Linked DNA regions of Drosophila melanogaster. The protein of the gene in region 1 purifies or fractionates together with the protein of each later gene. This does not show direct contact. Each region holds a gene or a part of one and is shown in the gene's direction. Other genes may lie near its edges.

Region 1 (8,055 bases):
GATTCAGTGTACGGATTCCACTTTCGTGGCCGCTTCCTTCGCTGTTGCTCATCGTGGATAGACTGTGGATTAGATTGTGAATTGGTTGTCCGATTTGCCAAATTGATTGATTGCCACTCGATTAGACAGACGACGACTAACCCGGCTAACCCAAACACCATCCACACTTCACCCGTTTTATGGCCAATTGATTATCATTCGTCTCTATCTTCGCCTTTTGGGCCTCGCCTCGAGTGATAAGCCAGCGCTTGGCCAGCTGCAATAATGGTTGGACAATGGAAATGGACGAGCGGCCGGACACTTGAGGCATTCCTGCATTGAGACTAATTTATGCTCATTGAGTTTCGCACAGACAACTTGCATACAATGGCCCAAGGTTGGGCGATTTTGACCCGATCCGCAATTGAAACCAGTTCTCTGATTGCCGGCCGCTTATCTCGCGTGTCGAGAACATGGCTCAAAGTCCGATTCGGATGAGATGTATGTATGTACAAATGAACATATGCCCATCCGCGGGCGCACTATTATGATTATGGCGTCTCTCGGAATCCGATTGCACTTTCAATCCAAAAGAAAAGGTTTTCATTCTCATTACCCGAAGAAGTTATAATATGATTGATTGTGTAAATGGCAATGTTTACCAATTATTTGGTATTTGAAATGCGAAAGGCGAGTTTTAAGCTCATCTTAAAGTTCAATTGAAATGAAAATGAGCTGCTAGAAAAACCACGCGTTCGTTTTACATAAAAACCTTGAGTTTTCCTTTTAAATTAGTTCATATATCTAGATAGTTACCAACGGGAAAACACGATATTCGATTCAATGACGGCGTGAATTTAATGAAACATTATAGTTTTAAGATCTGCCTGTATTTGCCCGCAATTGAGAGGACTCGAAACTTTGCTGGCTTGTCTGTTCTGAGTTATGACAACTTTTCAATAAACCAACGATGGTGGAATTAAAACACCTCCCAGTTCCCGGCGCCCCCAAAAGTATGCCCCATTGGGCGCGGTGGGAGGTCACGGGGTTGAAAAGCATAACGAACAAACCCCCCACCCCCCCTTCGGAATTTATCACCATAACGACTATGCTAAGCGGTATAAAAATAGATACCTCGGGCATTCCTTATATTGCCAATTACAAAACAGCGGGCGGGGAGCTAGTGCACTGCGAGAAAATGTCTGGACTGCAAATCGCAAGGTATTCCATTTCTTTTTAAGCTTTGAATTTAACAGTTACTGAATCGAATTTATTTTCTAAACAAATTGTGCTTAAGAATCCTTTAAAGTAATTCATTTCACATTCATGTTTTTTGGCTAATGATATTTCAGCTTAGTCTTAAACCTATTTTATCTTATTCAACCAATCTTTCCATCTTTTTTTGTGCCTTGCTTTACCATGTTATTTTTCTCAGTGCACAGGAAGATTGTTTACATCTCCCATTCAGAATCAATCGCCGCACTAATCCAATTTGTAGCGCTGCCGTCACGCAATTCGCCCCTACAACCTGACCGTCCACCTACACAAGTATTTTCCATCCCAATCACAGCTGCTGCCCCCCCCCCCCCCGGAAAATCCAAAAAAAAATGCAGGTGGAAAACTCACCGTTTTTTTGCTGCCGCGGATGTGGCTGCGGATGCTGTGCGTGGGCGGAAGCGGTGGCGGATGCGGATGCCGCGCTGACGTGCGGATCCGGGGCGGAAGAGGATTCGGAATCCCAGGCCCACGCAGGATTCTCAGGGACCCAGAGCTTGCTGCACTGCATCCGGGGATGTGGGAAGATTCGATTTGGCGTCCGTCTTCTTATTTACTTTCCGCGGACTGGCTAGTGGTGGGCAGGGCGGCGATGTAACATCGATAGCTCGCCGTTGTAACGGCAAGCCAAGTCATCGATGGCGCACCAGCGAAGTGCCATCTCTAGAAAGTAAGCAAATAATTAACGTATTTATAAATATTTAAAGTTTATATCTAGCTTATAGTTCCACTATTCGAACCTTCAATTATGGCTTATTTGAGATCATTTTTAAAAATATTTCACTTTTATAAAGATTTTTGGGCAGAGGAAGAAATCATCTCATATTTTTAGCTTTTATATTTATCTTTATTTATTACGTTTATTATAAAAAGTGCCTGCTTAATTTGAAGCTGAAATAAGAATCTTGTGATTCACATTTATTTCACTTAAGGATTATAGGATATTTAATGTTGCCTAATTCTACCAATGTTTCGATGATTTGTGCTTAAATGTTGCAAAAAACAAAAAGTGGAAATAAATAAGTGAACTACTAAACTTTTTAGCGTACGAATTTCAATTCAAGAAGCAAATAAAAAAAAAACTCAATTAGAGGGAGACCTTTTACTTACGATCTAGATGCTTCAGTTTATCAACTAGGCATATCTAATGCGATTAACTATTTCCAGGTTGGCCAACTCCTTACAAACATACAGATCCCGATGGCGACTCTAGTCGCCGCTGGAAGCGCAGCGGCCTGGTATGATTATATATATATATATATGTATGCATTTGCAGTTGCAATCCGGAATTTACTTCATAGTCCGGGCATTACGTAGGCGATGTTGTCGAGCGTGTCGGCCAGATTTTTGCTCAACTGCACATTGTTCTCCATGCCGGGTATTTGCGTGGTCATGCAGAGCAGCGGTCCCATGGCGCAGAGCAGGCTGTCGAGGAGCACGGACAAGCTGCCCGATAGCGCCACGTATCCATTGTGCTTCTTCAGTCGCTCGCCAATCACAGTCAGGCTCTCGCCGAGCAGCTTCAGATGTGCGGCCGCATCGATCACTTCGATGCTGGTCTTTTGCACCTCCTCCTGCTTCAGCTGACCCCCAGTCCGGCCGCTGACGTCCGCATCCGTGTGCACTTGCGCTTGTTTCGTCGCGCTCTTCGAGACCTGCGACCTGGCACTTCGTGTGCTGATGCTGCGCCGCTGTGTGTTGGTGCCAGTCGCTGCTGCTGCCGCCGCTGCGGCAGCCGCTTCTATTGAGGATTGCTGCCGATCGGCGGCCAGTTTTCGAGTGCGACTTGTTGTCGCACGGTTCTGAAAGATCGTCTCGTGCTGCGTGGCATCTGCCAGAGCCGTGCTGCCGTTGCTCGCCGGCTGGGTTGCACCGTTTGCAGCGGTTTTGTCGCGAGTTTTGGCCCTGGACGCCTCGATTTTGGCCTTGCGCCGCCAGGTGTTCTTGTCCCGATTGGAAACGTTCGCCCACAGCTCGCTGAGGCGTCTGGTCGCGCTGGTGAAGTCTGCAAGCGTGCGGGGAATGGTCAATAAGCGATAGAGAGCGCACAGATGTGTAGCAACCTACCTAGATCCTGGAGATCCTTCTGTCGCGCCTCCTTGGCCCACAGACTGTAGGCGGTGTAGCGCTGCTTGCCCTTGTCCTTGCGCTGCACCTTGGCACTCACCACCTTGCCGTCCTTGAGCACCTGCCGCTTGTTGGACTTCTCGCGCATGTAAAGACTCTGACGGACGGATGACTCTTGGCTGGTGGCCTCCGCCTGGACACCATCGACGATATCCTGCACCAGATTGTCCAGTTCATCGTCGGAATTCAGAATGGCCACGACCGTTGCCGTTGTATCCGGATGGAATTCCTCGCTATCCGAGATAATGCCATCATCCACGAGCATCTCCTGGTCAAGATCCAGATCACGCAGCGCATTCGATGGCCTGCCGCGGCCCGAATATCTGGCTGGCTGTCTGGCGCCACTGTGACGCCTTGTGCGCTTCTCGATCTCATCCGGAGATTCAAAATCCAACAATTTCGACGATTTTTTGCGTACGCGTCCGCTGCGCGAAACACCCGTCACCTGGAAATCTAATTGGGAATTTATGACCCCGATTCCATTGACGGCTGCCGCTTTTTCCACTCACCCTTGGCCACCAGGTGCGAGGTTGGGGACTCCATGTTTGGATACCTGCTTTGGAAGATTGGGATGCAATTTGTTGCAAAAAGAACGAATTAAACGAAGCAAACAAAACAGCTGTTTGGTGTGACCAGAGCTTTAAAACGCGATGCATTGCAAGCGATGGTTAAATATGGAACACTAGATAACCATTTTAGTTTTTGAATATATTGCTAAGTTAATAACCATTGCACCAGTCAATTGTACAGAGTAGGAAACCATTAAACTTAATTATTTAATAATATAATATTTTTTATTGTTATATTATTTAAATTATAAGCACAGGATGTGCACGCACAACTTAATTTTTTTATTATATTATTAATTATTTTTATAAACAAAAACATTTACGATATATACGACTGCAATTTCATTTTTATTACAATACATCTAAATTAATATCCAGTTAGCTTGCAAAAACCATCAGCTGGTCACACTGCCGCACCTTTGTTTTGTTTCGACTTTTTTTTTTGCTGTTTGAAAGCGGCTTTTAGTTTATCGATTTGCTTTGCACCTAACTGCGCCAAGCGCCCCATGGCACGCGATTCTCGCCGTTTGTGAGTCGTTTCGCCGGTGGCCCCCAACCCAAGGACATTTTGGCCCCCAGCCGGCCGTATACGCATTTGGCGTTGACCCGCGTCCGCTTTTTTCATGACCAAAACGGCGGCTGCGATTCAAACGAAGCTCAAGCGCAAGCAAAAACATTCGCGCAGCGTCAATCAATCGAGGCGGTACTTAATCGGGTTTAGAGCTATCCATAGCCATGTCAGCGGAGAGGAACAAGAGTGGCGAAGTACGCAGTGCAGCTGGAGGATTGGAACTGGCATCTGCGAGTGGAGCAAGTGCATCCGAGACGGACAATGTGAGCGCCCTTGAACTGCAGTCCAACAAGCGCATGCTGTACTTTAGCGACGGCGTCATGGAGGAGTTGTCCTCGGGCAGCGAGGACGAGGCGGATGCGGAAATGGGCGACAAATGCTACGACGTCCATTTAAACGAGGTACATACATTCAGCAAGGATTATGGGTGGAGTAATGCACTTCCGGCCATCCATTTAGTACATGGTCATGTAGCTGCATTGCTTGTTTACCTTTTTTAAAGCGGGATTGTCCGGATTAACACAGTTAGTTAAATTTGCTCAAGATTAGCCCAGTTCTCCTGATCCAGATAATAACTTTTCACTTTGAGCTCGAGACGTGACTAATGTTCGAAGCGAATTATGATAATAATGTGAGAAATTTTATATCTTTCAATGAAAATGTGTGTTTTGAGCTGTTTAAGTAAACAAACAGGGCCCAGGGCCACGAAAAAGATAAGCAGCTGCCACCCCCCGCCCCCCTCCTCATTGACCATTTAGCGTGACTCATTTAGCCCGCTTTTTTTTTTTTTGCCACCTTTTAGAGCGAAATGCCGCTGGGACCACGCCTGCGTTACAAGGCCAGCAGGATGGGCAACCGATTCCTGGCCGGCATCGACTATGTGGGCGGTGGGCTGGCCCACCTGCTTGGTATCACCAGCAGCAAGTATGCCAGCGAATTGGAGAACTACCACAGGGCCAAGGAGCACGGCGACGAGGACCTTGACAATTGGCACCCGCGGGCCATGTCGACCACGACCAGTAGCAGCAACAACAACAGCAGCGGCAACAACAATCGCAACGAAACCATCGTCCTATGCGAACCAACACGCAGCGAGGCGACCTTGCCACCCACACGGCAGTAGGCGCCCACTGGGCCACCCACTTGCCAGGTGGGTTGTGCAAGGTGGCGATTTTCTTGGCAGGAAGGCGAAACAAAATGCTCATGGAGTACTGGCGACACTTGGAGACTCTTTTACTTGGTAAAAACCATGCGAAACGAAATGAATCAAAACAGATATTAACTTTTCGACACTTTATTCGCTAGCAAATAAGTTATACATATACATATATGATAATAAAAAAAATACACATATAAAATACAATACAATACAATACATATACTGTTAGTCGCGGGCTCCATACGATTCGTATTAGCCCGCAATTGTATAAAGGTTAGTTAGTTTCTTAGCTAGTTAGTTGGACATTTAGAAGTAGGACTTTTTCTGTGCGAAAATCAGCAGAAGTTGAAGGAAAACCCTCAGTAATTCCGCCAAAGTTCGTTGCTGGAAAAGGACTCTTTTAAGGTAATTTCATGATATTGACTCGTTTCAGTTAAGTCCCTAAAGCTAATGGCACACTGAATACAATTAGGCATTACGGCTACGATTGCAATTGCGTTTTTTTTTTTCGATTGTTAAGTACACTTGTTTCGGCATCGGGAGAAGACAGCAAAGTTGGAAACCTAGTTTCTGGTTCCCATTTTTATTTTTTTGTTTTTGAAGACATGAACATGCGTATCACAGTATTTGGTTGCTGCGCGTTTCTCTCTCTCTCTAACTCAAAAAAAAAGAATTTATATAAAAATGCTAAATATATATATGTATATATGTGTTATGTACGCAAAGGCGACACACATTAAGTCCTAATGTCTAAAAGGCAAGAGCGATTATTGAATTTGGTTACACCAAAATGGTAAAAAGGCAACGCAAGGGGCAACTAATTAGGAGCAACATTAAGTACACACAGGAAAATAGGATATGAAGCCCATCTAGGGCAATTACAAATACATTGTAGATGACCTATGACCTCGCGATAAAGGCCCAAACTAAAGCACTAAGAGCACATTTCCGGGGTTATATACACAGTACATAGATCGGTTTACCCCATTGTGTTCTATGGACAGGCAAAGCAACTAAAATCGAAATAACGATATCGTTATCTCACGATCGTTTTATGACAAACAAATTGGACCGTTTCCCCACCCATTTAAGTTGCTTTGCCTCTTTCGATACCCGAAACCGCATTAAGTTATAGTAGAGGATTGACTTTGGCACAGCAGCTGCTGCAGGAACATTGACTGGAAGCAGGAAGCATTTCCTGCCCTGAAATGGTACCTAATCCAATTCCGTCTAGAGTAGCGTCTCATTGCCATACTGCTGCAAGTGGGGATAGTAGCTGCCGTGCTGGCTGTACTTTTGCGAGGCATAGCTACCTGGCGGATAATACAGCCGATGCGAGGATGTGGAGTGATGCTGGTGATTGTGGTGGGGATGGAACTGATGATGCTGCTGCTGCTGGTGATGATGATGATGCGGCGAATGGCGCTGCTGGTGATGCACGCTCCTGCCCAGCGAATAGTTGGACATCTGATTCAGCGATATAGAGCCGGTACCAGGCGAAGTCTTCAGTTTGTACGGACTTGGCGGCAACGGAACACTGGCCATAGAAGTTCGCACCGAATGGTAGGAGACCACCGTGCTATTGCAAGCCGCATGCGATCCACGCGAGCTACTATGCCCGTCCAGGTGTCCAGTTGCTGCTCCGGCAGACGTATGCTTCACCATTTTGCCATTGCTGACTTGCCTCTTGTAGAGAGTGGAAATGCTTGGTCCAAGTACCCAGGCAAAACAGCAAATGCCCAGCATCAGTTCCATGAAGGCGCGCAACAAAAATGGCCAAAGTGGCGTATTGGTATCACCCGATCCCAGCCAGACATCGATGTTGGCAAACTCGTAAATGACAGCCAACAGAAGCATGGCACATGCAAGTCCATAGATGAAAAGGAATATGCCAATGCCGGAACTACTGTGTGCGCTTAGCTGTTGCAGTTGCTGTTGCACGCTGAGTGCATTGCTATTCCTCAGGATCTCCTTGGTGCGACAGTGTACCAAATAGCCGGAGATCAGATTCATCGAGCCAAAGATCCAGTAGCAAAAAACGGGCGTAGCCACCAATATCTGTAGCGCCTTATCCGACTGATTGCCTACGAAACAGGCGCCTAGAAGAGCGTATGGTTGGGTTACTCTCCGAATTCTCCGGCGGATCTATAGCATATCTCACCAAGCAACTCGTCAGCATCCACGAAACGGGCAACGATCACTGCTGACGTTTGAAAGGCCGGCAATCCCCAGGCCACGAAGCACACAAAGTTGTTTTGCGTTAGATCCTGCTGAGCCGTCTTGGCACTGTTCCTCTTCGCCGGACTGCCTCCAAAGTTCGAGGGAATGACCACATGGCCCTTGGAGTCCGGACTGTGCCGACGAATGTCGCGGTG
Region 2 (3,626 bases), on another chromosome or scaffold:
TGAATTTGGTCAGAAAAAGGAAATATTACATTTAAAAGATATAGTATAGAATGCAATAACAGGTATTCCCCATATTATTTTTTCAATTCCGTAGTGATAAAATGGCGCAATACCAGGCTACAAGTGCTTTCTTCCTGCTACTTCTATCATCCACACTAGTTAAATCAAGTGAGCCTTGGCTAGATACTTTTGAGCACCCCAAAGAGGAGACACCGGACGATGACGATGCAATCATGGAAAGACGTTGGCAGCTTGGCTACGAAAACTTTCGACTTCGCTGCGAAAAATTCGAGATGGAAGGTAATCAAACCGCTGCTGTGAGAACTCGAATAGCTGGAGGAGAATTGGCCACGCGCGGCATGTTTCCCTATCAAGTGGGTCTGGTGATTCAGCTGAGTGGCGCAGATCTGGTCAAGTGCGGTGGTTCCCTTATCACTCTTCAATTTGTTTTGACTGCAGCCCATTGTCTGACCGATGCCATAGCTGCAAAGATATACACGGGCGCCACCGTATTTGCCGATGTAGAAGACTCCGTGGAGGAGTTACAAGTCACGCATAGAGATTTCATTATTTATCCTGATTACTTGGGATTTGGAGGATATAGTGACTTGGCTTTAATACGACTGCCAAGAAAAGTCAGAACTTCAGAACAAGTGCAACCCATTGAGTTGGCTGGGGAGTTCATGCATCAAAACTTTCTGGTAGGCAAAGTGGTGACCCTATCTGGCTGGGGTTACTTGGGAGATTCAACCGACAAACGGACGCGACTCCTCCAGTACTTAGATGCGGAGGTGATCGATCAGGAACGCTGCATCTGCTATTTCCTGCCAGGATTGGTTAGCCAGCGACGTCACCTGTGCACCGATGGAAGCAATGGACGTGGTGCCTGCAATGGCGACTCCGGTGGCCCCGTTGTGTACCACTGGCGCAATGTTAGCTACCTGATTGGGGTCACCTCGTTCGGCAGTGCCGAAGGATGCGAGGTGGGGGGTCCCACTGTCTACACCAGGATAACCGCATATTTGCCATGGATCCGACAGCAAACGGCAATGACCAACTAAATGCAATTAACGCCTAATTGCAGCCCATTAATTGCTAAACAATATAGTCGGCCCAGACAATAAAACCAATTTGAGCAATGAAACCAAAACAGGTTCTTCTGTCGAGAAAGGAAGGTGCAAATGGTCCATTTTATGTGTGGTTGTTTTCTCTTGAATGAAAATTGTTACCGATAAATAACAATAAACATTTCGGCATTGCAGAAGAGCAAGTCAATTTGGGGAGCTCAATAAGGGCACAAAAGAAAAATTACATTGCCATGGAAATTGCTGATGAATCGCCACTGAAATTGAAATCATTGGGTTGAGTGTCCGTTTTTGGTGAGGGCATATTGGGTACAGACCGCAGCGCCTCCTCCCGCTAATCGCCTTCAATTGGCCATCTGAATTGGCTATTAACCGCAGTGATGTGGTCGGTTGAACGCGTCATAAAATCACGCGGCTTTCGCTGATAAAGAAGGCTGCGGTTGCGAAAACAACTGAAATTTGCGTGTTTGTAATCAAAGAGAGAGTCCAGATACGCAATTGTTAGACGGCGGTATGATTTCCTATGAAGTTTAAGCAGTCTTGACCAACTCACGTCCTACTCCTTGACCTTTATCGAAGGTAAACAAACCCAACTAAACTGTGGGCTTACGGCTTCTCACCCTATAGACAGGAGATAAGATAGCACTCGACTACCATGGGAATTATAAGATACGCTGAAGAGCAAAGCAAACCTTTGCCAATTTTGTATCGCAATATATAGTTATGTATATATCGCGTATGTGTAAAACTAATCAAATTAATTAGCAACCCCATGCTAGGCCTTTGGTATCGCAGCGGCTCGATCTGGAAATCCACTCGAAGCCCATAGCCCTGATTAGATCCGTATCGGGATTAATACTCTTGGATTGGGAAAGTAATTTTGGCGACCGTGTGGCTGAAGTTCATTCATTCATATCTTCGGCACAAAATCTCAACAGATAAGGTAGTTCGAACCGACTTTAGTGGTCCTATCTAATCGGGACAGCTCTATTTCTGAATTGCAACCCAATCGCAGACGCGACTTGGCCAGTATAAAAGACCCCAGCTGGTCCTTGGCCAAACAGTTGAGTTCCCTTAACTGAACAAGCAACAATTCCCAAGATGAAGTTCCTGATCATCCTTGCCCTGGCTGTGGCCGCCTCCGCTTTCCCCGAGCCGGAGCTGCGCCATCGCAGCCGCGAGATGCCCGTCGTTGGCGACATTGGAGGTCGCATCACCGGAGGAAGCAACGCCGCCGTCGGCCAGTTCCCCTACCAGGTGGGACTTTCCCTGAAGCTGAGTGCTCTGTCCAGCGCCTGGTGCGGTGGTTCTCTGATCGGCAGCACCTGGGTCCTGACCGCTGCTCACTGTACCGATGGGTGAGTGTCCCTTGAAGGAATGCCGAAAATATCTTGGAACCAATGTCCTAACCAATTGTATGTTTGATTTATCGCAGAGTTCAGTCCGTGACCGTCTACTTGGGCGCCACCGTGCGCACCTCCGCCGAGATCACCCACACCGTGTCCAGCTCCGACATCATCATCCACTCCGGCTGGAACAGCGCTAACCTGCGCAACGACATCTCCCTGATCAAGATCCCCGCCACCTCCTCCAGCAGCAGGATCTCCGCCGTCAAGCTGCCAAGCATCTCCAACTCCTACTCGACCTTCGTCGGTGACGTCGCTGTCGCCTCCGGATGGGGACGCACCAGTGACACCTCCAGTGGTGTGGCTACCAATCTTCAGTATGTCGACCTGACTGTGATCACCAACACCAAGTGCGCCCAAACCTACGGCACCTCGGTCGTGACCGACTCAACCCTCTGCGTGGCCACCACCGACGCCAAGTCCACCTGCAACGGTGACTCCGGCGGTCCTCTGGTCCTCAAGTCGTCCAGCGAGCAGATCGGTCTGACCTCATTCGGTGCCTCTGCCGGTTGCGAGAAGGGCTACCCCGCTGCCTTCACTCGTGTGACCAGCTACCTGGACTGGATCAAGACTAACACTGGCATCTAGGAAGGAGTCAGGAACTACAATTTCGCTTAAAAATAAAAATCATTTCTAAAAAATTCAAAAGTTTTATAGCTCTATAGGGGGAATTTCGGAAACGTAGATCTTCATTTATAAATTTCTTTACTCAATATAGATCAAAAGAGAACTTATGTTCCCAGTTTGAGGGTCGTCGGTTATAGTAACAATCCATATCGTCTTGTACATATGCTTTTGTCTAAAATCAAAAATCATCACAAAACAGACAAATGAAAATGAATGCAGAACCAAGCTGTTACTGGCATTCGGCGAGTAAGTTCTCATTAAAATTCATTAAATTGCCAAGCGACACAATTTTTTTTTTTTTTTATTAATTTTTATTATTTATTGAATCTTCCCTTTGTGTTAAGAGACTAACAATAAGTGTTCAAATCTTAATCTAACTTAATTAACTTTCACTTAGTGATAGTTTTTTTTTTTCATTAATGCCCTAATAAGTTTATTGCTGGGCTGGGAGGTCGTTGCGGTGCAGCCGGCTTTGACTGCATACTCGGATTAGTTTTCTTGCGAGGGG

Evidence for each region. Proteins that work in one complex are often made in the same cells at the same time.
Region 2: the proteins of CG8300 (region 1) and Jon65Aiv purify together in Drosophila melanogaster (affinity purification with mass spectrometry, with the first as the bait; one large-scale study listed by BioGRID). This does not show direct contact.

What each region holds. Positions count from the first base shown.
Region 1 is NC_004354.4:7,100,471-7,108,525, forward strand, and holds CG8300 (uncharacterized protein), read left to right. Parts: upstream 1-4,414; 5' UTR 4,415-4,685; coding exon 4,686-4,922; intron 4,923-5,323; coding exon 5,324-5,644; 3' UTR 5,645-5,875; downstream 5,876-8,055. Other genes in the region: CG4615 (uncharacterized protein), read right to left, coding at 1-52; CG4617 (uncharacterized protein), read right to left, coding at 2,550-3,259, 3,322-3,834, 3,891-3,924; fz4 (frizzled 4), read right to left, coding at 6,911-7,779, 7,842-8,055.
Region 2 is NT_037436.4:6,037,010-6,040,635, forward strand, and holds Jon65Aiv (jonah 65Aiv), read left to right. Parts: upstream 1-2,145; 5' UTR 2,146-2,186; coding exon 2,187-2,443; intron 2,444-2,520; coding exon 2,521-3,079; 3' UTR 3,080-3,126; downstream 3,127-3,626. Other genes in the region: CG6462 (uncharacterized protein), read left to right, coding at 102-1,061.